Anolis sagrei: one gene and its partners. The protein of the gene in region 3 interacts with the protein of the main gene of each other region in a biochemical or structural test. Links are inferred from orthologs where the notes say so. Each region holds a gene or a part of one and is shown on either strand. Other genes may lie near its edges.

The links.
Region 1: the proteins of BMPR1A (region 3) and BMP7 form a complex in vitro, tested with the Homo sapiens proteins (2 studies listed by BioGRID). The link is inferred for Anolis sagrei from reciprocal best matches to the Homo sapiens genes BMPR1A and BMP7.
Region 2: the proteins of BMPR1A (region 3) and BMP4 form a complex in vitro, tested with the Homo sapiens proteins (3 studies listed by BioGRID and IntAct, with this or other methods). The link is inferred for Anolis sagrei from reciprocal best matches to the Homo sapiens genes BMPR1A and BMP4.

The regions. Positions count from the first base shown.
Region 1 is NC_090024.1:227,006,581-227,017,704, reverse strand, and holds the start of BMP7 (bone morphogenetic protein 7), read left to right. Parts: upstream 1-7,056; 5' UTR 7,057-7,424; coding exon 7,425-7,884; intron 7,885-11,124. UniProt on the Homo sapiens protein: Growth factor of the TGF-beta superfamily that plays important role in various biological processes, including embryogenesis, hematopoiesis, neurogenesis and skeletal morphogenesis.
Region 2 is NC_090021.1:337,795,309-337,805,372, reverse strand, and holds the start of BMP4 (bone morphogenetic protein 4), read right to left. Parts: upstream 4,157-10,064; 5' UTR 3,822-4,156; intron 1-3,821.
Region 3 is NC_090023.1:159,895,501-159,905,539, forward strand, and holds the start of BMPR1A (bone morphogenetic protein receptor type-1A), read right to left. Parts: upstream 4,816-10,039; 5' UTR 4,523-4,815; intron 1-4,522. UniProt on the Homo sapiens protein: On ligand binding, forms a receptor complex consisting of two type II and two type I transmembrane serine/threonine kinases.

The DNA of each region.
Region 1 (11,124 bases), on a different chromosome or scaffold from region 3:
GCTGGTAAACTGGCTGGGATTTCTGGGAGTTGTAGGCCAAAAACATCTGGGGACCCCAGGTTGAGAACCACTGGTGTAGATGGAGCCATACCGGAACAGGTCTGGTCATTCCTTCTTTCTCTCCCATCTGCGCAAAACACCACCTTTTATTTACTTCTGTGTCACTCAGATATCACCTTCTCTCCTCCTCTTTGCTCAACAAACTTCAGGCTCTAAAACAGACACATCCTTGGATTTCTTGGGAATATTGGTTCAGATGGTGTTTGCTTTGCCTTCCTCGAGGTTGAGAGTGTATGAACAGGATAAGTCCCAAGAGACTGGAGGAAGGAAAAAATAGGCTAAACCGGTCTCTTTTCCCCCCTCTGTGTTCCTGTTCATGAGTGTGCAATAAAAAATTCTGGCAGCTACTGTTTACCTTGTTGGTTGCAAGCAGGCACAGGAACTACAGCTAGTGCAGAATCCCATTCATTCTCAGCTCAAGCTTTATTGCACTGTTTACTACAACCAATCTGTTGCAACCCAACATTGAAAATCTATGTCTCTTCAGATGCCCTTGAACGTATTCCCAAACTTCCCAGCAAACCAGAACAATAGAAGAGAAGGGGGAGGCTGGATGGGCATAAAAAGATTTTAAGAAAAGTGGTTCCTTTCTCAGAAGCTTTGTAAACTGAGGTATGTGCATTGTGACAGTTTCTAAAGCCCAACTCACAATAGATCCTCTCTCTGTGAGGCAAGATTACAGAAATACAGCATACAGTTATATACATGGAGTGTCAGTTTTGTCTATACCAGAATTCAAGGCAAGATACAACAAGCAGATGTGGGTGGGGAGGATCAAGAACTGTTAAGATCATGCTGTGACATAAACTAACAATGTTGGTATCAAGCTATTTCACTATCTTGATTAATTTAAATTACTCCCTATCAAACCACAAGCTGGCTCAGCTTCAGCATTTCCATGTCACCCTTTATTTTCCACCAGGGAGGAAAATGATTTTTCAGCAATGATATGTTTATTATTGCTGAAGAAATCTTCTTACTGAGTTTTATGGTTCTTAGCTGTTAGTTGAATCAGGCCTATTTGGGAGGAGAGAAATCTGTGATTTGGTTGCAATACTTAGTGATTCTCATCCTGTGGGTCCCCAGATGTTTTGGCCTTCAACTCCCAGAAATTCTTACAGCTGGTAAACTGGCTGGGATTTTTGGGAGTTGTAGGCCAAAACACTTGGGGACCTACGGATTGAGAACCACTATGTGAGTTATCCCTCATTATCCCTGATACCTTTTCAATTTTCATCATGACTTTCTGAGCAGAGCTTGGAAAAGTTACCTTTTTTGGACTACGTGAATTGTATGCTGGCAGGAAATATTTTGGGAATCAGAGTCCCAAAAATAATGTTTTCAAGCTCTAGTCTTGGGCAAGTGAAGCTTTTTCTATAGGGTTGTTGATATATTTATCATGATCTTACTAGAACTTGCTGTAAGGTTGTTTCTGCTCAGCTCCTTTATTCAGAGTCACAGTTATTCAAATGTTTCAAAACAAATACTAATGGCTCAAGAAAAACTAAAGTTGGGGTGAGGAAGTTTAAAAGGAATTGTTGGGCATTTTCATTTGGGAGGAGGAGGAGGAAGAGATGAAGGAGAAGGGGGCAGGTTTTATCTGAGACCTTAACAGGAGAACAGCTCCTCATTCTTTCTTTACAATGGGAGTGAGACGGTATTGGGGTATTTGGTACTTCCAGGAGTTGCATCACTCCTTGCAAATGAAAGAGAAATACCTGAAGGTTACTTTTTAATATAGGCATGTTTTTGTTTTTGTTTTTTGTGAAATAATGTGTGCATGGATGGGTGTGGCGTACCTTGTTTTAGAGAATTACAGCCTTCAGCTAATGGGTTTTTAGGGTTTTGTTTTTTTTAAGAAAATGACTTCTTGTTTGGATATAATTTTATTTCATAAATAGCCTTTAGTGCTGGAAAAATGTCTGCATAATTCCTTCCTCTAACAGATACCAGGGCTCAGGTTTTTCTTCTCCTGAATCTTTGCAGAGCAACCAGCAGGATGGAGCTCCACAGTGTAATGATCTGGCTCTTGAAAAAATGTTTGGTGACAGATTGTAGAGGAGCCAGTGCTGGCTCCCTCAGAAGAGAAGGCTGTGAGGAGACATTATAGCTATGTGTAAATATGTGTGGAGAAGTCATAGGGAGGAGGGAGCAAGCTTGTTTTCTACTGCCCTGGAGACTAGGATGCGGAGCAATGGCTTCAAACTACAGGAAAGGAGATTCCACCTGAACATGAAGAACTTCCTGACTGTGAGAGCTGTTCAGCAGTGCAACTGTCTACCCCGGAGTGTGGTGTAGACTCCTTCTTTGGAGGCTTTTAAACAAAAGTTGGATGGTCATCTGTCGGGTGCTTTGAATGTGATTTTCCTGCTTCTTGGCTGGGGGTTGGACTGGATGGCCCACGAGATCTCTTCCAACTCTATGATTCTTGGCCACAGTGAGGCACCCACTTCAGGCAGTAGATATTGGAAAACAATAGAAGCCATCTCCATCACTTCTTTCACCCTTCTTATTTCCTAATAGGATGTCCAGTATGCAGATTCCCCTCCCCTACCTGCAAAAATCCAGTGCCTTTTATAACTGGCAAGTTACCAGCCTTTCTTGGCAAAGAAGACCAAAGACCTTGTAAAACTACAACTCCTGTGGCTCAAAGCTATGGGTTCCTAGGCATTATACTTTGGTTAGACACCAGTATTCTGTCAGGGAAAGCTTGTAAAATTAAAACTCCCATGAATCCATGGCATGGAGTCATGGCAGTTACAATGGTGTCAAGCTGCATTAGTTCTACAGTGTAGATGCACCCCCAAAACTCTGGAGAGCAGAGTTTGAATCTCTACTCAGCCATAGAAACTCACTGGGTGACCTTGAGATGAAGGTTCATACAACCCCCCCTCTCTAAAAAAAAAAATCAGCTTTCAAAGCCCAGCAACAAGTTGAGGGTGGACAACAAATCCAAAGAAAATGAGCAGAGCTAGTGACCAGGAAATAGGAACCCACAAAATAGAAGAGTTCTGATGGGTAGAAAGGATTTTTAGGGTTGTAGGTTTTTTGGGCTGTATGGCCATGTTCTAGAAGCATTCTCTCCTGATGTCTCTCCTGATGTTTCACCTGCATCTATGGCAGGCATTGTCAGAGGTTGTGAGGATGCCTGCAAAATGTGAGATGCAGGCAAAACGTCAGGAGAGAATGCTTCTGGCCATGAAAGCCTTTGACAGTAAATTTCCAGGGTCTCGAATTCTGGTCTCCAAACAGGCTTTTTTTGGAGGGGGGTCTCTAAAATGTAAAACTAATGTAGTTTGGCATCACTTTAACTGCAATGGCTCAATGCCATGGAATCATGGGTGTGATCTTCAGTCTTCTCTGCCAAACAGTGCTGGTACCTCACCAAACTACAACCCTAAAGAGCATTGAGTTCTGGCAGTTAGAGTGGTATCAAACTGCAGGAATTCCACAATGTAAATGTGCTCTTTGACAAGTAAAGACGTGTCTATCCATTCTGACCATCAAGTGTCCATCTTCCCCCATGTACTGGATATTAAAAAATCACCATCCTAGGGGAGGCATGAGCAAACTTGGGCTCTCCAGGTGTTTTGGGGTTGGTCTCTCACAATTCCTAACCACCCTGGGTCCTTTCCTTTCCCTCCTCAGTTGCTTAAAGGCCTGAGGCTGTTAGGAATGGTGGGAGAGAAGGCTGAGAGGGGATATGATAGCCATGTATAAATATGTGAGAGGAAGCCACAGGGAGGAGGGAGCAAGCTTGTTTTCTGCTTCCCTGGAGACTAGGACGCAGTGGAGGAATGGCTTCAAACTACAAGAGAGGAGATTCCATCTGAACATGAGGAAGAACTTCCTGACTGTGAGAGCCGTTCAGCAGTGGAACTCTCTGCCCCGGAGTGTGGTGGAGGCTCCTTCTTTGGAAGCTTTTAAACAGAGGCTGGATGGCCACCTGTCAGGGGTGATTTGAATACAATATTCCTGCTTCTTGGCAGGGGGTTGGACTGGATGGCCCATGAGGTCTCTTCCAACTCTTTGATTCTATGAGTTCAACTCCAAAACATCTGGAGGGCCCAAGTTTGCCCATGCCTGTCCTAGAGGAACACCATTGAGGCAGATCTCCAGACCTTTGAGGCAAGAGCTTCTGTCTCTTCTCTCCCCCCCCCCCCCTTTGGATTTTCTAAGGATACTTTTGGAGATCAGAAAAGAAAGACAGAGGAGAAGAGGAGGAGGAGGTGGAAACCTCCTTTGCCAGGGAATGTCGAAGCTGTCTGAATTCTTTCCACTCCAGGAACGAGTCAAGGGGTCCTCCTCCTTTGGGTTTCCTTTAGACACGTTGGGAAACCGAAATTAGTAACAACAGGAGCAGCAAAAGACTGTCCTCTTCCAGGAGTGTGTTGGGCCATCCTCCTTTGAATCCTCTTCCCGCCAGGAAGGAGTGGAGGGGTCGTGGGAGATTTCCCAGGCAAGAACTTGTGTGTGTGTGTGTCCATCTCCTTTTGGATTCCCTTGGAGACGTTTGGAAAACGAGGAGGAAAAGCAACAAAAAGAACAGGAGCAATCCTTCCCCTGCTACGAACAAGTTGGTGATCCCCCAATCTCCCAGGCAAGAACTTGTGCGTAACTCTTTGGGTTTCCTTGGGACGTTTCTGGAGACCAAAGAGAATAATAATACCACAATAATAGGAGGAGGAGGAAGAGGAGGAGGAGGAAGAGGAAGAAGAAAAGGAGGACGAGGGGGAAGAGAAGGAAGAAGAGGAGGAGGAGGAACAGCCACCACCTCTTTTTTCAGGGCTGTGTTGAGACTGTTTGAACTCTGTGTTGTCAAAGGCCTTCATGCCCAGAATCACTGGGTTGCTGTGAGTTTTCTGGGTAGTATGGCCACGTTCCAGAAGCATTCTCTTCTGAAGTTTTGCCCACATCTATGGCAGGCATCCTCAAAGTTTGTGAGGTATATTGGAAACTAAGCAAGTGAGGTTTATATATCTGTGGAAGGTGGGAGAAAGAACTCTTGTCTGTTGGAGGCAAGTGTGAATGTTGCAATTAATCACCTTGATTAGCATTGCAAAGTCTGGCAACTTCAAGGCCTGGCTGGTTCCTGCCTGGGGGAATCTTAGCAGGCTCTGTTACTGAGTATTCTTTTTTTACTATCCTAACTTTAGAGTTTTTGTTAATACTGGTAACCAGATTTTGTTCATTTTCATGGCTTCCTCCTTTCTGTTGAAATTGTCCATGTGCTTGTGGATTTCAGTGGCTTCCCTGTGTAGTCTGACATGGTGTTTGTTAGAGTGGTCCAGCATTTCCATGTTCTCAAATGATATGCTGTGTCCAGGTTGGTTCATCAAGTGCTCTGCTATGGCTGACTTCTCTGGTTGAGTTAGCCTGCAGTGCATTTCATGTTCCTTGATTCCTGTTTGGGCAATGCTGCCTTTGGTGGTCTCTATGTAGCATTCTGAACTCCACCAATGATGGAATTGAACCAAACTTGGCACACAGAACTCTTATGACCAAAATAAAATATTGAAAGGGTTTGGTGGGCATTGACCTTGAATTTTGGACTCAAACGGTGATGGATCTGGACCAAACTTGGCACGAATACTCAATATGACCAAACGTGAAAACTGGTGGAGTCTGGGGGAGATAGAGCTTGACATTTAGGAGTTGTAGTTGCTGGGATTTATAGCTCACCTACAATCAAAGAGCATTCTGAACCCCACCAACGATAGAATCATAGAATCATAGAGTTGGAAGAGACCTCATGGGACATCCAATCCAGCCCACTGCCAAGAAGCAGGAAAATTCCATTCAAAGCACCCCCGACAGATGGCCATCCAGCCTCTGTATAAAAACCTCCAAAGAAGGAGACTTCACCACATTCCGGGGCAGAGAGTTCCACTGCAGCAGAAAACAAGCTTGTTCCCTCCTCCTCTCACATATTTATACATGGCTATCATGTCTCCTCTCAGCCTTCTCTTCTTCAGGCTAAACATGCCCAGATCTTTTAGCTCCTCCTCCTCATAGGGCTTGTTCTCCAGACCCTTGATCGTTTTAGTCCTCCTCCTCCTCTGGACACATTGCAGCTTGTCAACATCCCCCTTCAATGGTGGCGCCCAGAACTAGACACAGTATCCCACACAAAACCCCCATGACCAACAGAAAATATTGTGTTTTCTGCTGGTCTTTGGGGACCCCCCTGACAGACTCCTCGCGACCCCCCCCCCCCCCCAGGTTGAGAAACGCTTCTCTAGTGCGACAAGGTCCTTTGTGGGCCTGCAGATAGTTTGTATGTTGTGTTTCTTCATCAGATTCCCTATGCAGTCAGTGGTTCCCTTGATGTAGGGCAAGCAGGCATGTGGGGGGGGGGGGGAGGGGGGGGGGGCTTGAGGGGCTTCAATCCCCCCCCCCCCCAAATTCTCATGGTGGTTCGCGAAAAGGCCTTACTGGTGCATTATTTAAACTGTTATGTTTATCCATATCATGATCTGATCACCATACTCAATATATCCCATATGCATGGGGGTATTGGGGTAACGATACAAAAGGTTTGCTAGGCTAGACCCACTTTCACTCAGACTCAGCCCCCCAAATCGAAATCCTGGCTACGGGCATGAGGGCAGGCATCCTCAGAGGTAGTGAGGTGGGGTGTAAGTTGTGTTTCTTCATCAGCTTCCCTATGCAGTCAGTGGTTCCCTTGATGTAGGGCAGGCATCCTCCAACTGCGGCCTTCCAACTGTTTGGGGCTCCAACTTGTTCAATTGTCAGGAATTCTGGGAGTGGAAGGGCCAAACAGCTGGAGGGCCGCAGTTTGAGAAAGCCTGATGTAGGGTAAGAGGATCCCGCCTTGCCCTTCTTGTTTGAATTCTTCTCCGTGGAGGAATCGCGGAACATCCCCAGATCTCCGCGGCGAGAGTTTGTGTGTGTTGTGCGTGTTTGTGTCTCCTCCTCCTCCTCCCTTTCCTTCGGAGTTCCTTGGGACACTTTTGGAGAGAGAGAGAGAGAAAAGGAGAAGGAGAGGGACCCGCCTGGCTCCGCCCTTGTCCCGCCTCGCCTGCTTTGGCGGAGAGCGGCGTCCTCCTCCTCCTGCTGCTGCTCTCCTTCCTCCTCTCCTCTCGCTCTGCACCGGCTCCAGAGCCCTTCTTCGGACTCACTCGGCGGCATCCTTCCTCTCCGAGGGACTGACTCCCTCTCGCCTCCTCCGTTGCTCTGGATGGCTCCCGCGGACTGAGCCCGCTCCTCCTCCGGATCATGCGCGACCGGGGCGAGTGAATCCTTTGGCGGCGGCGGAGGCGGCGGGCGCTGCTCCTCGGATCCGCGGCTCCTTCGGCTCCCGTCCGCGCCCGGCAGGGTGGGCTTTCGGCGGGGCTCCGGCGATGCTGCTGGGGCTGCTGGTGCTGTGGGCGGCCCTGGAGCTGCGCGCCTCCTCCTCCTCTTCCTCGCTGGCCGACTTCACCTTGGAGCACGAGGTCCACTCCAGCTTCATCCACCGGCGGCTGCGGAGCCAGGAGCGACGCGAGATGCAGCGGGAGATCCTCTCCATCCTGGGCCTGCCCCACCGGCCCCGGCCCCACCTGCACGGCAAGCACAACGCCGCCCCGCTCTTCATGCTGGACCTCTACAACGCCATGGCCGGCGGAGGCGGCGGCGGCGGAGGGGCCGAGGAGGAGGCGGCGCTGGGCATGGGGGGCGAAGCGGGCGCCGAGGCCGCCGGGCTGGAGGGCTACTCCTACCCCTACAAGCCCCTCTTCAGCACCCAGGCACCCCCCCTGGCCAGCCTCCAGGACAGCAACTTCCTCACCGAGGCAGACATGGTCATGAGCTTCGTCAACATGGGTGAGTGCGTGGCTCCCCTCCTCCGCTCAGGCTGATACCCCACTCGTGGCTCATTGCGCTTCTCTGTATGCCAGGGGGCATCCACTCACTACACTGTAGAGCAGGCACAGGCAAACTTCGTCCCTCCCTCCAGGTGTTTTGGATTTCAACTCCAAATGGTGGGAGTTGAAGTCCAAAACACCTGGAGAGAGGGCTGAAGTTTGCCCATGCCTGGTCTACCGGCTGTTAGGAATTGTGGGAGTCGAAGTCCAAAACACCTGGAGGGAGGGCTGAAGTTTGCCCATGCCTGGTCTACCGGCTGTTAGGAATTGTGGGAGTTGAACTTCAAAATGCCAGGAGGGAAGGTCGAAGTTTGCCCATGCCTGTCCTCGAGGAACACAGTTGAGGCAGATCTCCAAATCTCCGAGGCAAGAGCTTCTGTTTCTCCTCTTCCCCCTTTGGATTTCCTTAGGAGACTTTTGGAGACCGGAGAAGAAAGACTGAAGAGAAGAAGGAGAAAGCCTCCTTTGCTAGGGATGTCAAAGCTGTTTGAATTCTTTCTCCGCCTGCTGTAGAGTGAATAGGCTGAAGGCCTCCTTCTCTGCCAAAGAGTGCAGGTGCCTCACCAGATCCCAAAACTCAAAAGCATAGTTTGACACCACTTGTATTTTAATGTGGCACTGGAACTATTTCACAGAGGAAGTTAAAGACCACAGCTTCCCTGGTTCCCAAGTATTCCGCCATGGCACTTCAGATGCACCTTCCATGCAAAGTTAGAAGGATCTGGATGCCCTTGCCAATACCTGATTCTATGATAGCATCATAGAAGCATAGAATCATTGAGTTGGAAGAGATCTTCTGGGCCATCTAGTCCAACCTCATTCTGCCAAGAAGCAGGAAAATCACATTCAAAGCACCCCCGACAGATGGGCATTCAGCCTCTGCTTAAAAGGCTCTGAAGAAGGAGCCTCCACCACACTCCGGGGCAGAGAGTTCCACTGCTGAACAGCTCCCACAGTTAGGAAGTTCTTCCTAATGTTCAGGTGGAATCTCCTTTCATGTACTTTGAAGTCAATGTTCTGCATCCTAGTCTCCAGGGCAGCAGAAAACAAGCCTCTTCCCTCCTCCCTATGACTTCCCCGCACATATTTATATGTGGCCCTCATCATGTTTCCTCATCCTTCTCTTCTGCAGACTAAACATGCCCAACTCTTTAAAGCCGCTCCTCATAGGGCTTGTTCTTCATACCCTTGATAATTTTAGTCACCCTCCTCTGGACATATTCCAGCTTGTCAACATCTCCAATCAATGCTTCTGGAACATGGTCATACAGCCCAGAAAACCTACCGCAACCCAGAAGTTAAAGACCATGTAAAAGTATAGCTTTGCATGCTCTCATGATAGTTAGGTGCACCTTCCATGCAAAGTTAGAAGGATCTGGATGCCAGTGCCAGTTCTGATGCTTGTCACCCTTAGGTGCCCATTATTCTAGTAATTCTCACTGGGGTGGAAATCTGCCATGGACTCTTAGTAGGCAGTATTACCTATGCATTCTGATGGTGGCTAGCAGTCCTTTTCAAAGTTCTTATTTCATGTCAAAACAATTGCATAAATAGATAAGTTTAAAATTGATAAAATAAAGGGATAACAAGCTGCTAAATAGATTTAGACCAAAAATGGGCAACAGCAACTGCATTGTCTGTAGCTTTAAACAGTTCTTCCTCTGTGCATGAGGCAATGCATAATGGACAAGTATACAGATACTGAGTTGTTTGTTCTGCTCTACAGTTACACAAGGTGGAGGATTATTTTAAGGTAGTGGATCTCAACCTGAGTCCCCAGGTGTTTTTGCCAACAACTCCCAGAAATCCTAATTTACCAGTGTTAGGATTTCTGGGAGTTGAAGGCCAAAACATCTGGGGACTCACAGGTTGAGATCCACTGTTTGTTCTAAGCAGTGCCATTTTGCTAGGTTGTCTTTTAATCTGCCAATTCACTTCTGAGTCTGTTCAAGGACTTTCAAATTGCTCATTCTTGGTTTGCCTCTGGAGGAAGACCCTCGTAGGGGACCATCTAGTTGGAATTGCCTGATTTTGCTGCCCACAGAGATATTCTTGCTGTTGCTGGAGAAACATGATGAGGAGTGGTGGTTCTCGTGAAACAGTTCCTTGATTTAAGTTTACTAGGAGGAGGCTGGTAGCCATACAGTGGGTGGCTCTCATAGTGTGAAACCTTATTTCTCTCACAATTGGCAGCAACTTCCCATCACACATAGGGGAGGGGGGGATGCCAGCTAGCTTGCTTATTTATTTATTTATTTATTTATTTATCATGTCAGGGGCAACCAGACCATCTACAAGCTAACATAGAGTCTATCAACAGGTGTAGATTAAAGATATCTTGTGATTATTCTATGAATGCCCCCAATGCAATGCTGCTCTGGGGCACTGTAGAACATTAAAATGGTCCAGAAGAATAGGATTTGCCGGAGGATGATTTGCTTTGGAACCTGGAGCTGAATCTGCTTCAGCTTTGCTTTTTGTACTGGTGGTTACCAATCGACCTGATGGCACGAATTATGTGATTGCTGTATTATGCCTCTGCTTCTGTGCTATTGCTTGAGCTCCACCACTTCACCAAGAAGTAGTATACAGTGCTTTAAAAACAACCACCAGATTTAAAACACTTTTGGGAGTCTCTCCTTGTGGGTGTGGCACAACCTGGTGCAGAAAGGTTTGATGCAAATCTCTTCAAATGATATCTCTCCCCTTTCTAAAATTGTTTTACTTTTTGAACTCACCTATCCTGCTACCAATCACTTAGATAGTAGAATAATTGCCCAGGTTCATAGTACACTCATTTGTGTGCTGTATGTTGGTGTTTTGCTCAAATATCTGTGGATCTAGATCCTTATCGAGACTGGATGGAGATACAACTTTTCTCTATACTGTGGAAATCTCCATTAAAATCAAATAGTGAATCTTCCTAGTGGTGATGGGACAAGTCAAGGGGGAAGGGGGAGGGGGAGTGTTGCCTTTGTAAATCTAATGTGAACCATTCAGGGATGTTCTGGGATAACTCAGCCTGTCCATATGATCTCGGATGGTTTTCCCTGGTTCTGGGTCTTGTCCTTTTCAGTATCTTTGTGTCTTCCCTTGTGAGTATCCCATATTCCCCATAATTGAGTATTTTCTTCAGTGTGAGAATAATTAATTTAGCAACAACTCAGTCAAATTAAGCCTATATAATGAAGCCCCCGGT
Region 2 (10,064 bases), on a different chromosome or scaffold from region 3:
TTTGTCTATCCATCCATCCATCCATTCTTTCTCTCTCTCCCAAAATCAGTTTTTCCAGGAAGACTTTGACCTTACTTCAAAAAAACACCAAACGTTGTGCATCCCTTTCCTTCATCTCCTTCCAAGCCCAGATTTCTGTTTGGGAGCATATCCTTATGATATTATAGTATGTTTTGCTGGTTGTTAAGCAATCCCAGAGGGCAGCATAGGGGACAGAGGGAGAGGGAGAAAGGCCATATAAAATCCAGATGATCAGGCTTTGAACTGGATTATCTGGCAAGTGTAGACTCAAGTGCATTATTTGCTTTGATAATCTTGATTATAGGGCAGTGTAGAAGGGGGCCGGAGATGCCAGCTGCTAAGAGGAGAAAAAATCCCTCTGCGGAAGTGAAGCGTCCTGGCTACAAGGGAATTTTCACAAGGTCCTGAGTGGGTTGGAAGGACTTTTTGGCAAGATCCAGTGAAAACATCCTGGATGCAAAGGACTGGGGGCAAGGTCCAGTTCAAAGCCTTGGTTGGAAAGAGTTGCTCCTGAAGATCTTGGGTGGGAAGGACTTGGGGCAAGGTCCTGAGTGGAGAAGGCTTTTGGAAAGGGCTTCTCCTGAAGCTCTTGAGTGGAGAAGGCTTTTGGAAAGGGCTGCTTCTGAAGATCTTGCGTGGGAAGGACTTGGGGCAAGGTCCTGAGTGGAGAAGGCTTTTGGAAAGGGCTGCTCCTGAAGGTCTTGAGTGAAGAAGGCTTTTGGAAAGGGCTGCTCCTGAAGATCTTGGTGGGAAGGACTTGGGGCAAGGTCCTGAGTGGAAAGGGCTTTTGGAAAGGGCTTCTCCTGAAGATCTTTGGTGGGAGCGACTTGGGGCAAGGTCCTGGGTGGAGAAGGCTTTCGGAAAGGGCTGCTCCTGAAGATCTTGGGTGGGAAGGACTTGGGGCAAGGTCCTGAGTGGAGAAGGCTTTTGGAAAGGGCTTCTCCTGAAGCTCTTGAGTGGAGAAGGCTTTTGGAAAGGGCTGCTTCTGAAGATCTTGCGTGGGAAGGACTTGGGGCAAGGTCCTGAGTGGAGAAGGCTTTTGGAAAGGGCTGCTCCTGAAGGTCTTGAGTGAAGAAGGCTTTTGGAAAGGGCTGCTCCTGAAGATCTTGGTGGGAAGGACTTGGGGCAAGGTCCTGAGTGGAAAGGGCTTTTGGAAAGGGCTTCTCCTGAAGATCTTTGGTGGGAGCGACTTGGGGCAAGGTCCTGGGTGGAGAAGGCTTTCGGAAAGGGCTGCTCCTGAAGATCTTGGGTGGGAAGGACTTGGGGCAAGGTCCTGAGTGGAGAAGGTTTCTGGAAAGGTTTGCTCCTGAAGATCTTGGGTAGGAAGGACTTGGGGCAAAGTCCTGAGTGTAGAAGGCTTTTGAAGAGGGCTTCTCTTGAAGATCTTGGGTGGGAAGGACTTGGGGCAAGGTCTTGAGTGAAGACTTTTGGAGAAGGCTTCTCCTGAAGATCTTTGGTGGGAAAGTCTTGGGCAAGGTGCTGAGTGGAGAAGACTTTTAGAAAGGGTTGCTCCTGAAGATCTTGGGTGGGAAGGACTTGGGGCAAGGTACTGAGTGTGGGAGGCTTTTGGAGAGGGCTGCTCCTGAAGATCTTTGATGGGAAGGACTTGGGGCAATGTCCTGAGTGGAGAAGGCTTTTGGAGAGGACTGCTCCTGAAGATCTTGGGTAGGAAGGACTTGGGGCAAGGTCCTGAGTGGAAATGGCTTTTGGAAAGAGTTGCTCCTGAAGATCTTGGGTGGGAAGGACTTGGGACTTTCCTATCCCAGACCATGCGCGTACTGCAAAGAACATCATTGCCTGGTTTTCTCTTGAAATAGTAGCCTGCAAAGCGGGGATTTAGAGCAGCTTGGAGGGCAACTGAGAGAAAGGAGTTGGGGGAGGAAGAGTTGAGTTGTAGCTTTGAGAGAAAATGAGGAGGAAGGAGTTTGGGGGCAGAAGCTTTGGCCGACTTCAGCCGACTTCATCGGATGCGCAATTGCGCATCGGATGAAGTCGGCTGAAGTCGGCCAAAGCTTCTGCCCCAAACTCCTTCCTCCCCAGTTCCTCTCCCAGTTCTTTATCCCAGTCCCTCTACCTTTAACCATAAATACACGCAAGAGAGTGGAGTGCCTTCGCTTTAAGGCTCTAAACACCAAATCCTGGGGCGCAAGGAAAGAAAGAGCCGCTGCTTTGCTTTTGGAGCGCGAATCTCCAAGTTCCTCCAAGTTTGGGGTTTTCTTTTGGGGACACAAAGCCTCTTGTGTGGGTTTCCTCTCGAGTAAAACAAAGCTCAACTACTGATTGAACTAAACTCGGAGTAAACCGGGCAGGAAAGTTAAGACTCGGAGTAGAAGAGAGAGAGAAAGAGAAAGGAACCCAACCTCCGACAAAAGCCGCAAAATGCACATCTCTCCAAGCCTTTCCTAATGAAACATGGCCAAACAGCCCGGAAAACTCACAGCAACTCAACTATAATGAGAGTACTGATACTCATCATGCTAATACGGGTACTAATCGTGCTAATAATGCTATAATACGAGTTTTGTTTGGGTCCAGGGAAAGGAAAGGAAGGAAAGGAGGGAGGGAGGAAGGAAGGAAGGAAGGAGCAAAATCCTCCGACAAAATGCACAACTCTCCAAGCCTTTCCTAATGAAATATGGCCAAACAGCCCAGAAAACTCATAGCAACTCAACTATAATGAGAGTACTGGTACTCATCATGCTAATATGGGTACTAATCGTGCTAATAATGCTATAATGAGAGTTTTGTTTGGATCCAGGGAAAGGAAAGGAAGGAAAGGAGGGTGGGAGGAAGGAGCAAAATCCTCGGACAAAATGCACATCTCTCCAAGCCTTTCCTAATAAAACATGGCCAAACAGCCCAGAAAACTCACAGCAACTCAACTATAATGAGAGTACTGATACTCACCATGCTAATATGGGTATTAATCATGCTAATAATGCTATAGTGAGAGTGTTGTTTTGGATCCAGAGGAAGAAAAGGAAGGAGCAAAATCCTCGGACAAAATGCACATCTCTCCAAGCCTTTCCTAATAAAACATGTCCAAACAGCCCGAAAAACTTACAGCAACCCAACTATACTGATAGTAGTGATACTCATCATGCTAATATGGGTATTAATCATGCTCATAATGCTATAGTGAGAGTTTTGTTTTGGATCCAGGGGAAGAAAAGGAAGGAAAGGAGGGAGGAAGGAAGGAGCAAAATCCTCCGACAAAATGCACATCTCTCCAAACCTTTCCTAATGAAACATGGCCAAACAGCCCGAAAAACTTACAGCAACCCAACTATAATGAGAGTACTGATACTCATCATGCTAATATGGGTATTAATCATGCTAATAATGCTATAGTGAGAGTGTTGTTTTGGATCCAGGGGAAGAAAAGGAAGGAGCAAAATCCTCCGACAAAATGCACATCTCTCCAAGTCTTTCCTAATGAAACATGGCCAAACAGCCCAGAAAACTCACAGCAACTCAACTATAATGAGAGTACTGATACTCATCATGCTAATATGGGTACTAATCATGCTAAAAATGCTATAGTGAGAGTGTTGTTTTGGATCCAGAGGAAGAAAAGGAAGGAGCAAAATCCTCCGACAAAATGCACATCTCTCCAAGTCTTTCCTAATGAAACATGGCCAAACAACCCGAAAAACTTACAGCAACCCAACTATACTGATAGTACCAATACTCATCATGCTAATATGGGTACTAATCATACTAATAATGCTATAATAAGGGTGTTGTTTTGAATCCAAGGGAAGGGAAGGAAGGAAGGAAAGGAGCAAAGCGCTACTCACTGACAGAAAGCACGGCAGATAGAAACAGTCCATGGTTCTTCTTGACAGCCAGTGCGGAGCTCGTAGGATCCGTGGGAGGGAAAAGCGGGGATCCTGGCGCGGGGAAGGCAAGCGGGGACCGACGCGGATCAAAGGGAGCAGTGCGGAGGGCTCTGGTGCCGAGCATGGGAGGGAAGAGCCAGCTGCTGCTCTCGCTGCCGCTCCGGAGCGCCTCCTGCCAAATGCACCGCTTGGACTAGACTGGGACGGGCCAGCCAAGGGATTGCTGCTTTCTTCCCCCCAACTTTTTTCCCTCTCTCCCTCTCTCGGTTCCAGCCCCGGGGAGGGTCACGTGAGCCCGGCAAGGCCCTCCCTTTGCTGTCCTGGCCTGTCAATCATGGAGACGAAGCACCGCCCACTCTCCTCCCCCCCCCCCCCCCCCAAACACACACACAACTGGCCAGTCCCCAAGATTTGGTCCCTTCCTGGAAGACTGGATCTGCACAGCCATATGATACGGTTTGGGATTGCATTAGAGCAGGGGGTCTCAAACTTTTTCAGCAGCTGAGCCCTTTTTGAAGCAAAAGTTTCTCATGGAGGCCCAGGAAATGATACATTATATTATATTATATTATATTATATTATATTATATTATATTATATTATATTATATTATATTATATTATATTATATTATATTATATTATATTATATTATATTATATTATATTATAGGTTGTTGTGACAACATCTGTTATAGAACTACAATATGCTGATGATAATATCATCTGTGCACATTCAGAAGAAGACCTACAAGCCACTTATATCATATTACATTATATTATACTATATTATATTAGAGGTTGTTGTGACAACATATGTTATAGAACTACAATATGCTAATGATAACGTCATCTGTGCACATTCAGAAGAAGACCTACAAGCCACTTATATCATATCATATTATATTATACTATATTATATTAGAGGTTGTTGTGACAACATATGTTATAGAACTACAATATGCTGATGATAACGTCATCTGTGCACATTCAGAAGAAGACCTACAAGCCACTTATATCATACCATATTATATTATGCTATACTATATTATATTATAGGGTGCTGTAACAACATATGTTATAGAACTACAATATGCTGATGATAACGTCATCTGTGCACATTCAAAAGAAGATCTACAAGCCACTTATATAATATCATATTATATTATGCTATATTATATTATATTAGAGGTTGTTGTGACAACATATGTTATAGAACTACAATATGCTGATGATAACGTCATCTGTGCACATTCAGAAGAAGACCTACAAGCCACTTATATCATATTACATTATATTATACTATATTATATTAGAGGTTGTTGTGACAACATATGTTATAGAACTACAATATGCTGATGATAACGTCATCTGTGCACATTCAGAAGAAGACCTACAAGCCACTTATATCATACCATATTATATTATGCTATACTATATTATATTATAGGGTGCTGTAACAACATCTGTTATAGAACTACAATATGCTGATGACAACGTCATCTGTGCACATTCAGAAGAAGACCTACAAGCCACCCTAAACACCTTTGCAGAAACATACTGGAAACATTCACACCTAGTTCCAGCAGACAAGAGTTCTTTCTCGTCTGCTGGAGTTCTTTCTCCCCTCCCTTTGCTATCCTGGCCTGTCAATCATGGAGACGAAGCACCGCCCACTCTCCTCTCCCCCCAAACACACACACAACTGGCCAGTCCCTAAGATTTGGTCCCTTCTTGGCAGACTGGATCAGCACAGCCATATGATACGGTTTGGGATTGCATTAGAGCAGGGGTTCTCAAACTTTTGCAGCCGCAGAGCCCTTTTTGAAGCAAAAGTTTCTCATGGAAGCCCAAGAAATGATACATTATGTTATATTGTATTGTATTGTATATTATACCATACTATACTATACTTATTATAATATACTATGTTATATTATTATATGTTGTTGTGAAAACATCTGTTATAGAACTGCAATATGCTGATGACAATGTCATCTGTGCACATTCAGAACAAGACCTACAATGGTTTGAGCCCCACCATTCTCTGTGATCACATCTCCTTCTATGAACTAGTGCAAACTCTTAAGATCTTCTAGCAAGGCCCTCCTTTCGCTCCCACCACCGTCACAAGTATGGTTGGTGGGGATGAGAGAGAGGGCCTTCTCAGTGGTGCCCCCCCCCCCGGGCCTCTGGAATGCCCTCCCCAGGGAAATTAGAAAGGCCCCATCCCTCCCCTCTGTTCGTAAGGCCTTGAAGACCTGGTGGTTTCAACGTCTTTGTGAACAACTAGTTCTAGCTCAGCCCTAGACATTGTGGAATATGGCCTTATTCCTCCTACCAATTACCCATGTCACTTCCTCTAATAGGCCCTGGATATGAATCAGCCATAGATCCTACTATAACACTGCACTTGATTCCTGCCCCCCCTAGATTTTTTGAGCTTGCACTAATCTCAGCCCGGCCTTGTAAATTGCCTTGAACAGGCAGAATTACTTTTAATATGTATGTGTTATGGTGACAATTTTATGCTTATATTGTTTTGTTAATCTTATGATTATGTTGTTTACTCTGTATGTATTGATGATGGGTTGTTGTAGGTTTTTTCGGGCTATATGGCCATGTTCTAGAGGCATTCTCTCCTGACGTTTCGCCTGCATCTATGGCAAGCATCCTCAGAGGTAGTGAGGTCTGTTGGAACTAGGAAAAAGGGTTTATATATCTGTGGAATGACCAGGGTGGGACAAAGGACTCTTGTCTGCTGGAACTAGGTGTGAATTTTTCAACTGACCACCTTGATTAGCATTTGATGGTCTGGCAGTGCCTGGAGCAATCTTTTGTTGAGATGTGATTAGATGTCCTTGTTTGTTTCCTCTCTGTTGTAGTGCTGTTCTAATTTTAGAGTTTTTTTAATACTGGTAGCCAGATTTTGTTCATTTTCATGGTTTCCTCCTTTCTGTTGAAATTGTCCACATGCTTGTGGATTTCAGTGGCTTCTCTGTGTAGCCTGACATGGTGGTTGTGAGAGTGGTCCAGCGTTTCTGTGTTCTCAAATAATATGCTGTGTCCAGGTTGGTTCATCAGGTGCTCTGCTATGGCTGACTTCTCTGGTTGAAGTAGTTTGCAGTGCCTTTCATGTTCCTTGATGTGTGTTTGGGCAATGCTGCTGTGTTTGGGGGTCCCTGTGTAGACTTGTCCACAACTGCATGGAATACAGTAGACTCCTGCATAGGGAAGCTGATAAGGAAACACAACATACAAACTATCTACAGACCTACCAAGAAAATCCAACCAATGCTTCGTTCAGCAAAGGACAAGAGGGATCCTCTCACTTCTGCAGGAGTCTACAGTATACCATGCAGCTGTGGACTTTTTAACTTTTAAACTATAAATTCACAAAAGTCATAATGACTACTACAATGCGCTCTACGTGGGGTTGTCTTTGAAGACTGTTCGGAAGTTTCAAATGGATTGCACATCAGAGCAGTGCGCAGGTGTATCAGGATGTCACAAAGTCGTCAGACAGAAATATTTGCATACTTGTTTAGGAAACCCAGGTAATACAGTTGGACCTAACATCCCCCCCACCCTCTACCCCCCTTAAACCCCCCCTCCTCCTTCTGTTTCGATTATATGTTAAATGTTTTGTCTGTTTTATATTTGAAAATTCAATAAAGATAATTATATAAAAAAAAGAGCAGTGCACAGGGAGCACACAACTCCTCTGTTACGTCAGCTCAACTGGTTGCCAATTTGCTATTGAGCACAATTCAAAGTGCTGGCTTTAGCCTATAAAGCCCTAAATAGTTTCAGTCCAGCTTAGCTGTCTGAACGTATCTCTCCCTATGAACCATTTAGGAATTTAAGATCATCTTGGGGAGGTCGTGCTCTCAATTCCATCTTCTCCGCAGGCTCGGTTGGCATGGACGAGGGACAGGGCCTTCTCAGTGGTGGCCCCTCAGCTATGGAACTTCCTCCCTCCTGACCTTCTGGACAAAAGGGGAAATGTGGCTTTTTGAGCAAGCCTTCTGGAATCCAGTGCAATAGATAAACGCAGAATTATGTGCAATTGAATCTTGGAACAGCCCTGACAATGACTTTGGATAATGAGGCTAATTGTGAAGATGTTGGGGTTTTGTTTTGTTTTGTTTTTAAAGGTCTAATGTATGTATTTTATAACTCTGGTTGTGAAGCAACCATGAGTTGCCTCTGGGCTAGAGAAAGGCAGAGTAGAAATGTTGTAAATAAATAAATACCAATGTGGAGGGACAATTGCACAAGGATTAGAGTCTCTTTAAAACTAAAAGTTCATTCTTCTAATGGAAGGAAAAATAGATAAATTCCATTTTGTGGAACCATTTCGAAAAATGTGCCCTCGGCGACCTGCCAGTTTTTAAAAAATTAAGTTACAGAAAGGATGAAATAAAAAGAGGGAATAATGAGATGTTGACTCTGATCCAGGATTTGAGGTTGAATCTTTTTGTCTCCATTGTTTCCTGTCCTAAGTTCTCTTTCGCCCTCCAGAAGGGCTTTCTTGTAATTCCCATAAAACTTTGCTACCTGCGCAAAGAAACAAACCCTCTCTGATCTCTTCAGGCTCAGCCGAGAGTCCTTTGCACAATCCAGTCACCCAAGGAATCCAGAAATGTTCTTTCCTCTCCCTGTCCATCCTTCCCGCCCATTAAACTCAAATAGGATTAGGAACTTAATCGCCCGAAGTGAAGTAATGCAAACATAGTGGCTGATTCCATTTCGCAGGGACTCCATTTTTGAAGGGAAGAAGGAAAGTAGAGGAAAGAAAAGGAAGGAAGGAAGGAAGGAAACACAAGGAAGGAAGGAAGGAAGGAAGGAAGGAAGGAAGGAAGGAAGGAAGGAAGGAAGGAAGGAAGGACAAGGTGAGGAAAGAAGGAAGAAAAGGAAGGAAGGAAGGACAACAAGACAGAAAAGAAAAGAAAGGAAGGAAGGAAGGAAGGAAGGAAGGAGAAAGGAAGGAAAAGCAATGAAGAAAGAAGAGAGAGGAAAGAAAAGAAAAGAAAAGAAGGAAGGAAAGACAAGATTAGAAGGAGAAAGGAAGAAAAAACGAAAGAAAAGTGGGCAAGAAAGGAAATACAATGAGAGGAAGGGAAGGGAAGGGGAGGGGAAGGGAGGGGAGGGGAGGGGAGGGGAGGGGAGGGGAGGGGAGGGGAGGGGAGGAGGAGAAAGGAAGGAAAGAGGAAGGAAAGAGGAAGGAAGGAAGGAAGGAAGGAAGGAAGGAAGGAAGGAAGGAAGGAAGGATGGACGGACCACAAGAAAGAAAGGAAAGGAAAGAAAAGAAGGAAGGTGAAAGGAAGGAAAAGCAATGAAGAAAGAAGAGACAGAGGAAAGAAAAGAAAAGAAGGAAGGAAGGACAAGATTAGAAGGAGGAAGGAAGGAAGAAGGAAAGGAAAGCAGGCAAGGAAGGAAATACAATGAGAGGAAGGAAAAGAAAGGAAAGGAAGGGGAGGGAAGGGAAGGGAAGTGAAAGGAAAGGAAAGGAAAGGAAGGGAGGAGTGTAAGAATAAAAGGAGGAAGGAAGGAAGGAAGGAAGGAAGGAAGGAAGGAAGGAAGGAAGGAAGGGGAACGAAGGACAACAAGAGAGGAACGAAAGTACAGGAAGGAAGGAGAAAGAAAGGAAAAGGAAAGAAGGAAGGACAGAGAGAGAGAGAGAGAAAGACTGGAAGGAAGGAAGGAAAGAAGGAAAAGAAAGAAGGAAAAAAATAGGAGGAGGAAGGAAGAACAATGAGAAAGGAAGGAAAAGCAAAAAAGAAAAGGACAGAGGGAGTGGGAGGGAACAAAATAATAGAAGGAAGGAGGGAAAAAAGAAGGAAGGATTGAAGGAAGGACTGAGAGAGAGGAAGGAAGAGAAAGAATAGAAGTAGAGAAGGGAGGGGAGAGATCCAGTGCTGTTCTGTGATACTGTTGAACCCCATCCACATGGTTTGGTGGGGCAGCATTCTTATAGTATGTCAGTAAATAACATTATTAGACAAATTGTAAAACAATACAAGCCTCGTTTTTACAGGATGTTTTAACACCTATCCTCTCTGCATTGTATTTGCATTGTTTAACAGTGTGGGAGCATTGAACAAGGACTGCAGGTTGAATGCAGGTTGACACCAATTGACCTGCTGTGGCTCACGGGTACGGAATCCTGGAAGTTGTAGTTTTCCAAGGTCTTTTGCCCTTG
Region 3 (10,039 bases):
ATGAAAGACTACTTTTGGTATAAGGATTTGTAGAGGGCTGCCACCTTGATTTGCTCTGGAATCACTAACTCCTCCCAATCCCTTTTAAAAGAAGCAAAAACCCTAAGAGAAGCAGCATCCCAATGCAGTCAACTAAATGGAAACTGGCTATGGCAATTCCTCCTTGCAAGGAAGTACATTGGGGTGAGTTCACCCCAACAAATTTGGGGCAGTAAGAGCAAGAGCGTGTTTGTAGGCGAAGGTGGGAGACACGTGAAAAGGTGAGGAAGGCTGAATTCTCAGGGCACTTCCACACAGTCATATAACCCAGAATATTATATGGCAGATTATTATTATTATGTTTATGTTTATTTATATCCCTCCTTTTCTCTCTATATGGAGAGTATATAAAACCATAGCATCCCGTGACTAGATCGTAAACACCTTCATCTTTAAATGCATGTTTGAAAAAAAAGGTTTCAGCCTGCCACTGGAAGAACTGCAGGGAGGGGTCTATTTTGGCTTCCTTGGACAGCGAGTCCCAGAGTCTCGGCCACCAAGGGCCCTTCCACAGCCATATAACCCAGTATATGGCATTGAATTTTGCCATTACTTATGTGTATACCGCTTTGAGTCCCCCTTGGAGTGAGAAAAGCGGTATACAAATACTGTAAATAAATAAAATAAATATATCAAGGCAGATAATCCACAATATCTGCTTTGAACTGAGTTATCTGAGTCCACACTGTGATATAACCCAGTTCAAAGCAGATAATGTGGGATTTTATTCAGCTGTGTGGAAGGGGCCAGAGAAGGCCCACCAGCTGAGCAGAGAGAAGGGCCTCTCTTGAAGATTTCAGGACCAGGACAGATTCGTACAAAAGGCCAAACAGCCTGGAACTGAACTGTCTAGGAGCCCTTTCACTCAGTCATATATCCCAGAATATCAACGGAGAAAACTCCACAATATGTGCTTTGAACTGGGTTATCTTAGTCCACACTGCCATATAATCCAGCTCTGTGGAAGGAGTTCTGGTAATACCAGTTTTGAACTGGATTAATGAATCCACACTGCCATATAATCCAACTCAACGTGGATTTTATACAGTTTGGTGGAAGGGGCCTTGGATCTTCGGGGAAAGTCCATTCCTATCTTCTTCGCCCTTCCCTCCCAAAATAAGCCTGTGCCAGACCCATCCTGCCTCGGTTTGTGAGGAAGTCAAGCTGCAGCGCGGTGAGGTGTGTTTATTTTAATGGGAGCGTGTGCAAAAGAGCAGGTATACTCCCCCCCCCCCCCCCAAACCCAACAGCTCCTGACTTGCTTCAGCCAAGGAGTGTAATGTCTACGGGTCCTTCCAGACAGCCATATAACCCAGACTATCAAGGCAGAAAATCCCACAATATCTGTTTTGAATTATGTTATCTGAGGCCCCTTCCACACTGCCGAATAAAATCTCACAATCTTGAAAAACTCTAAAATTGCAACAGCAAAACAACAGAGGGGAAACAATCGGGCACATCTAATCACCTGTCAACAAAAGATTGCCCCGGGCACTGCCAGGCCATCAAATGCTAATCAAGGTGGTCAGTTGAAACATTCACACCTAGCTCCAACAGAAAAGAGTCCTTTGTCCCAACCTGGTCATTCCACTGATATATAAACCCACTAGCCGTCCCCTGCCACGTGTTGCTGTGGCCGACATGGGGGTTTTGTGTGGGAGGTTTGGCCCAATTCTATCATTGGTGAGGTTCAGAATGCTCTTTGAACTATAAATCCCAGTCACTACAACTCCCAAATGTCAAGATTCTATGTTCCCCCAACTCCACCAGTGTTCACATTTGGGCATATTGAGTATTTGTGTAGTTTGGTCCAAATCCATCATTGTTTGAGTCCACAGTGATCTCTGGATGTAGGTGAACTACAACTCCAAAACCAAAGGACACTGCTCACCAAACCCTTCCAGTATTTTCTGTTGGTCATGGAAGTTCTGTGTGCCAAGTTTGGTTCAATTCCATCGTTGATGGGGTTCAGAATGCTCTTTGATTGTAGGTGAACTATAAATCCCAGCAACTACAACTCCCAAATGACAAAATCAATTCTTTTTGAGTGAAGAACATACATTGGGTTGTTAGGTTTTGTCTTGTGTCCAGATTTGGTGTCAATTCGTCCAGTGGTTTTTGAGTTCTGTTAATCCCACAAATGAACATTACATTTTTATTTATATAGATTTTCCTAGTTCCAACAGACCTCACTACCTCTGAGAATGCTTGCCATAGATGCAGGCGAAACGTCAGGAGAAAAAACCTACAACAACCAACAACAACAACAACAATTCTTTATTGATTAGTCAATTTTGACCGTATCAAAACATGCAAAACATACACTTGGCCATACATACAGTATACATACAGTAAAACCATATATGAATACAAGGCAAGGCATATTCCGGTTTCTCTTCAGATCGCATAAACCAGGGGTCCTCAAACTAAGGCCCGGGGGCCAGATACGGCCCTCCAAGGTCATTTACCCGGCCCTCACTCAGGTTGAACCTAAATCTGAAACGACTTGAAAGCACACAACAACAACAACAACAACAACAACAACAACAACAATCCTATCTCATCAGCCAAAAGCAGGCCACACTTCCCATTGAAATACTAATTAGTTTATATTTGTTAAAACTGTTCTTCATTTTAATTATTGTATTGTTTTTAAGGGGTTTTTTGCACTACACATAAAATGTGTGCATATTCAAATTATAATCTGGCTCATGCTGCAGATACAATAATATCTACACCAGTGGTTCTCAACCTGGGACCCCTGGGGGGGGGGTCGCGAGGTGGTGTCAGAGGGGTCGCCAAAGACCATCAAAAAACACAGTATTTTCTGTTAGTCATGGGGGTTCTGTGTGGAATGTTTGGGCCAATTCTATCGTTGGTGTGGTTGAAAATGCTCTTTGAATGTAGGTGAACTATAAATCCCAGAAACTACAACTACCAAATGTCAAGGTCTATTTTCCCCAATCTCCACCAGTGTTCACATTTGGGTATATTGAGCATTCATGCTAAGTTTGGTCCAGATCGATCATTGTTTGAGTCCACAGTATTCTCTGGATGTATGTGAACTACAATTCCAAAACCATTCCAGTATTTTCTGTTGGTCATGGGATTTCTGTGTGCCACGTTGGGTCCAATTCCATCATTGGGGGAGTTCAGAATGCTCTTTGATTGTAGGTGAACCCTAATATATCCCAGCAACTACAACTCCCAAATGATAAAATCAATCTCCCTCAACCCCACCAGTATTCAAATTTGGGTGTATTGGGTATTTCTGCCAAATTTGGTCCAGTGAATGAAAATACATCCTGCATATCGGATATTTACATTACAATTCATTACAGCAGCAAAATTACAGTTATAAAGTAGCAACAAAATAATGTATTGTCGAAGGCTTTCATGGCTGGAATCACTAGGTTCTTGTGGGTTTTTTCGGGCTATAGAGCCATGTTCTAGAGGCATTTCTCCTGACATTTCGCCTGCATCTATGACAAGCATCCTCAGAGGTAGTGAGGTCTGTTGGAATTAGGACAATGGGTTTATATATCTGTGGAATGGCTGGGGTGGGGCAAAGAACTCTTGTCTGTTGGAGCTAGGTGTGAATGTTTCAACTGATCACCTTCATTAGCATTTGAAGGCCTGCCTGAGCCTGGGAAAATCTCTTGCTGAGAGGTGTTAAGATGTGCCTGGTTGTTTCCTCTCTGTTGTTTTGCTGTTGTAATTTTAGAGTTTTTTAATACTGGTAGCCGGATTTTGTTCATTTTCATGGTCTCTTCCTTTCTGTTGAAATTGTCCACCTGGTTGTGGATTTCAATGGCTTCTCTGTGTAGTCTGACATGGTGGTTATCGGTGTGGTCCAGCATTTCTGTGTTATGGTTGGGGGTCACCACAACATGAGGAACTGTATTAATGGGTCGTGGCATTAGGAAGGTTAAGAAACACTGATCTACACCATGCTGCAGATATAATTATTATTATTATTATTATTATTAAAAAAAATAAAAAATCTGGCCCTCCAACAGTTTGAGGGACTGTGACCTGGCCCTCTATTTAAAAAGTTCGAGGATCATTGGCATAAATCGTTACAACAACCCAAAATCTCACAAGATCTGCTTCGAACTGGCAGTGTGGACTCAGATATTCAAAGCAGATATTGTGGGCTTTTTCTGCCTCGATAGTCTGGGTTATAGCTGTGTGGAAGGGTCCCAAGTCCACACTGCTATATATTCCAGTTCAAATCGGATAATGTGCGATTGTATTCAGCTGTGTGGAAGGGGCCTATGTGTGCGAGTGGGTCTTTCCATAGAGCTCCCGGCCAGGCCTCGCCTACTCTTAGTCTGGAGACGGCGACTAAGTCTCTTGCTTCTTAAAAGGCAAAAACGAACGCAATTCAAGCCAGGCCTTAAAGGAGGAGGGAATATTTTCGGAAGGGAAGAGAAGGGACTCCTTCCCGCCGCCATTAGCTCCCCGCCTTTGCCTCACTCACCCGTGCCGGGGGGCCTTCATCCTCCTTTGTGCGGAAGGAGAGAGACAGAGAGAGAGAGAGAAGCAGGTCTGAGGTAAACCGCGTCCCCTCGGCTGAGGGCCTGGCCCGGTGGGGACCTTCCTCGGCTTCTCTACACGACGAAGGCGAAGGCGGCCCACGAAGACGAGGGAGAAAACTGTGAGGAGACAGCGCAGGCCTCTCCGCCTTTACCACAGCCTTTACCACAGCCGCCTCTCGACGCCAGCGCCGCCGTCCCCCCTCCCTCGTCAGAGCGTGAGCGCGCGCGCGCGCGCGTGTGCCTCTGTGTAGATGTGTCTGGGCACGCGCCTGCGCAGGAAGACGCGGAGGGAAAACGTCGCGCGCGCGCACACACTCCCTCGCGCTCTCTCTCTTGCGTGCTTGAGGAGTACGGCAGGAGGGGGGAGCAACGTTTGGAACGCTCTCTCTCTCACTCACTCGAATTATTCCAATCACTGCTAGTCGTGAAGCATGCCATGATTGGCTGGGGAGGAAAGTGCGAGGCGCGCGGACTCTACCTCCCCCCCCCCCTCCGCGCGTGCCTGCGTCTGTCCTTCCCCATCCCCCGTGCTCTCTCTTTTTAAAGTCCCTAAGGTGTTATTTGGCTGCCTTCCCGCCTCTCTACGGAAGTAGCCGAATAAGTTCGGAAGGGGTCGGCTTTAAAGTGAGGCCCCCAGCTCCCCGCACAGGCCAACTTGGCGCAGGCGCATTGGGATACACCTTTCCCAAAGAGAGGAGAAAGGGGTGCCGAAGTGGTGGCGGAGATTCCCGAAGGAGGCGCCTTCGGGGAAAGCGAGGCGGAGCTTCCCCGCCATTTCCGACCTTGGGAAGTTTTGGCGATAGAATCATAGAATCAAAGAGCTGGAAGAGACCTCATGGGCCATCCAGTCCAACCCCCTGCCAAGAAGCAGGAATATTGCATTCAAATCACCCCTGACAGATGGCCATCCAGCCTCTGTTTAAAAGCTTCCAAAGAAGGAGCCTCCACCACACTCCGGGGCAGAGAGTTCCACTGCTGAACGGCTCTCACAGTCAGGAAGTTCTTCCTCATGTTCAGATGGAATCTCCTCTCTTGTAGTTTGAAGCCATTGTTCTGCATCCTAGTCTCCAAGGAAGCAGAAAACAAGCTTACTCCCTCCTCCCTGTGGCTTCCTCTCACATATTTATACATGGCTGGCTATCATATGCTGGGGAAAGTGGAAGGTAAAAGGAAGAGGGGCCAACCAAGGGCAAGATGGATGGATGGCATCCTTGAGGTGACTGGACTGACCTTGAAGGAGCTGGGGGTGGTGACGGCCGACAGGGAGCTCTGGCGTGGGCTGGTCCATGAGGTCACGAAGAGTCGGAGACGACTGAACGAATGAACAACAACAAATCATATCTCCTCTCAGCCTTCTCTTCTTCAGGCTAAACATGCCCAGCTCCTTAAGCCGCTCCTCATAGGGCTTGTTCTCCAGACCCTTGATCATTTTAGTGGCCCTCCTCTGGACACATTCCAGCTTGTCAATATCTCTCTTGAATTGTGGTGCCATATAAGCAGGAGCGGTTTAAGGAGCTGGGCATGTTTAGCTTGAAGAAGAGAAGGTTGAGCGGAGATATGATAGCCATGTATAAATATGTGAGAGGAAGCCACAGGGAGGAGGGAGCAAGCTTGTTTTCTGGATGGCCATCTGTCAGGGGTGCTTTGAATGCAATATTCCTGCTTCTTGGCAGGGGGTTGGACTGGATGGCCCATGAGGTCTCTTCCAACTCTTTGATTCTATCTGCCTTGATATTCTGGGTTAAATGGCTGTGTGCAAGGCCCCTGATTTCAAAGCAGATATTGTGGGTTATATGGCTGTGTGGAAGTTCCATAAGGGGAAGTGAGCAGCCCAGGATACCAAGTTGTATTTATTTGCTACAGGAATGGGCAACCCATGTGGCTCCTGATATTGGGAGAATAGCACCATGTATGCTGGGACTAATAATAATAATAATAATAATTTTGTGTGTGTGTGTCAGGAGTAACTCCTGGTGTGAGAGAATTGGCCGTCTGCAAGGACATTGCCCAGGGGACACCCGGATGATTATGATGTTTTTATCATCCTTGTGGGAGGCTTCTCTCATGTCTCCGCATGAGGAGCTGGAGCTGATAGAGGGAGCTCATCTGCCTCTTCCCAGATTCGAACCTGCGACCTGTCGGTCTTCGGTCCTGCCGGCACAGGGGGTTAACCTGTGGTCAGTGGAAACATTCACACCTAGCTCCAACAGGCAAGAGTTCTTTGCCCCACCCTGGTCATTCCATTTTCCTAATTTCAAGAGACCTCACTACCTCTGAGGATGCTTGCCATAGATGCAGGCGAAACGTCAGGAGAAAATGACTCTAAAACATGGCCATATAGCCTGAAAAAAACCTACAACAATCCAAAGTACCATTCCTGGTCCATTAGGTAAGAAAGAGTGAGTTATAATGGTGAACTGGAGATAAGCAGGAGTGGACAGCATATTTCTTTTTGTTTAGGAATGATATGTTTAAAACTGATGATGATGATGATGATAATAATAATAATAATAACAATAAACTTTATTTATATACCGCTCTGTCTCTCTCGGGAGACTCGGGGCAGTTTCCAAGCAACAAGATCAAAATATACAGAGTCACAACATGAACAAAAAATAACAGCAACATAAGCATGGAATTACCCGACAACACATAAATATTAAAAGAAAAGATCTTGCCTGCTCTTCATATCTGCACCGGGATTGTGGTGCAGCTGGCTGAGTGTCAGCTGCATTAAGATCACTCTGACCAAAAAGGTCATGAGTTCGAAGGGTTGGAGTGGGTTTCCAACCAATTGTGTGTAGCCTGTTGTCGACCTTTGCAACTGTTGCATCTGTCAAGTAGGAAAATAAGGTACCACCTTAAAGTGTGGGGAGGCTAAATTAACTGATTTATGAGGCCATAAAGAAGACTCCAGCAAAGCATTCCAGCGGGGAAGCATGCGGGGAATGCGGAAGTGCTTCATCAGTGTCGCAGATGGACGATGAAAGCGACAGCTCCCCTGGTGGCCAGAAAAAGTTAAATAGCCTCTGTGTATGTCTGTATATGTTTGTATGTCAAAAATTGGCATTGAATGTTTGCCATATATGTGTATACTGTAATCCGCCCTGAGTCCCCTGCAGGGTGAGAAGGGTGGAATATAAAAGCTGTAAATAATAATAATAATAATAATAATAATAATATCTAATTTTTAGGGCATGGAAAAGGAATGGGTCAGGACAATTTAAAATGACAACTTTTTTTTTAAAAAAAACACACAGCAGTTCGGTAAATATATTAGGGTTTTTTTAAATTAAAAAATCAAGTCTGTTCTGTCTTAAAAATACTTTGTGAAAACTGCATTTTCACATTGTCCTCAGCACATTCATATAAAAACCTGACAGCCTATGGAAATGTCCCAGTCAGCATGAGGAAAAATGAAGGAAGGGTTTTGCTTAGTAATGTGAAAAACGAGTTGCATTGCCTGTGAAATCTACTATAAAGAGACTCCTGCATTGTGCCAATGTACTTGTCTTTTCCTTGACAGCTGACTAAGATGTTATTGGGATATCGCAGCAGTTTCTCATGGCACGGTGCCCTCTTCGCCAAGCAGTTTGTGAAGGACAAGTGGATGGGAAAAGCATTGAAGATGCTTGAAATTGGCAGCTGGCCTTCTGTGAAGCTTCAGAGGGAAACAGTGGCCTGTATTGTTCGCCTTCCAGCCTACCACCCTCCAGTTCCAATACTGGAAGCTGGCATTTAGAAAGAACTGCCATTGCTTCAGAATAGAAGAGGAGAGCTCATGGCTCAAGAGCAGTACAAGCTCTTTGTGTCCAAAACACTTCACATTCATCATCTTAGTGACTAACATCTCCACTGGTTTTGTTGCCCGGTGGTATTATTGTATAACTATGTCATGCCCGGTTGTTTTAAAGGATGTAAAGAAAGAAAAAAGGGATAAAAATATTTTAAACTAGCCGTCCCCTGCCACGCGTTGCTGTGGCCCAATCTGTGTATATGTGTTTTGTGTGTGTATAAAATTTGGTGTCAATTCTTCCAGTGGTTTTTGAGTTATGTTAATCCCACAAACAAACGTTGCATTTTTGTACTAGCTGTCCCCTGACACGCGTTGCTGTGGCCCAGTCTGGTGATCTGGAAAATAAAGTAATGAGAAAGTGTTGGTTTCTAATATATGTAATTCCTTTATGCTTGTGAGTAAACAGTATTTCTTGTTGTTTCTTTGTCAGTGTTGATGTGGAGAGTGTCTGGTTTGCCTACTCTGGAATAGCAACATATCATAGTCCTTCTTTAAGGGTCTCTTTCAAATCTATGATACTATATCTGTGTGTGTGAAAGAGAATCATATCTATCTATCTATATTTATGACTGGATGGCTCTTTGTCAGGAGGGCTCTGATTACATTTTCTTGCCCTGGTGAAGAGAGTTGGACTGGATGGCCTTAAGTATTTTCTGTTGCTCATGGGGGTTCTGTGTGGGAAATTAGTCCCAATTCTGTCGTTTGTGGGATTCAGAATGCTCTTTAATTTTAGATGAACTATAAATCCCAGCAACTACAACTCTGAAATGTCAAGGTCTATTTCCCTTAATCTCCATCTGTGTTCATATTTGGGCATATGGAATATTCGTGCCAAGTTTGGTCCAGATCTATCATTGTTTGAGTCCACAGTGCTATCTCGAGGTGGGTGAACTACAATTCCCAAACTCAAGGTCAGTGCCCACCAAACCCTTCCAGTTTTTTCTGTTGGTCATGGGAGCCCTGTGTGCTAAGTTTGGTTCAATTCCATCATTGGTGGGGTTCAGAATGCTCTTTGATTGTAGGTGAACTATAAATCCCAAGAGGAAGGCACGTCAAGCCAACCCCGACCGAGACCACCTTCCACCTGGAAACCATTGCCCTCACTGCGGAAGAAGATGCAGAGCAAGAATAGGGCTCCACATCCCCATACGGACCCACAAGAATACTGGAAGACAATCATCCTCGGAAAACGAGGGATCGCCTAAATAAGTAAAGGTGCAAGTCTTTTTTTTAAAAGTTGCTCATTTGAATTCTTGATAATAAAAAGTTCCCCTTGTGCCATATTTTTCCTAAAAAGAGAGGATCTAATGAAGGTAAAAGAAGCCTGAAAATGAATACAGCAAAATAAAAGCAAACTAAGCTGCAGAGTGAACAGAACAATGGTATCAATTTTGTGTATGCAGGGAGGATCATGGCCAGATGTGCCCAAGCTTAGAGCAGGATGACCCTGAGGTTACATTTGAATCTAGGCATCCTGTTCCAAGTGTCATTCATTTGGCAGTGAAGAATGCCACTTGTAATTTTCTGTATTAACATGGAAGATAACATTAGACCATATAATGGGAACATTGTGTAATTTCCAAGTCAGCAATGTGAAAAGCAGTCTTTTGAAAAGTCCCTTAAGCAACTCAATATGTTACTGGCATAAGAATATATATATATG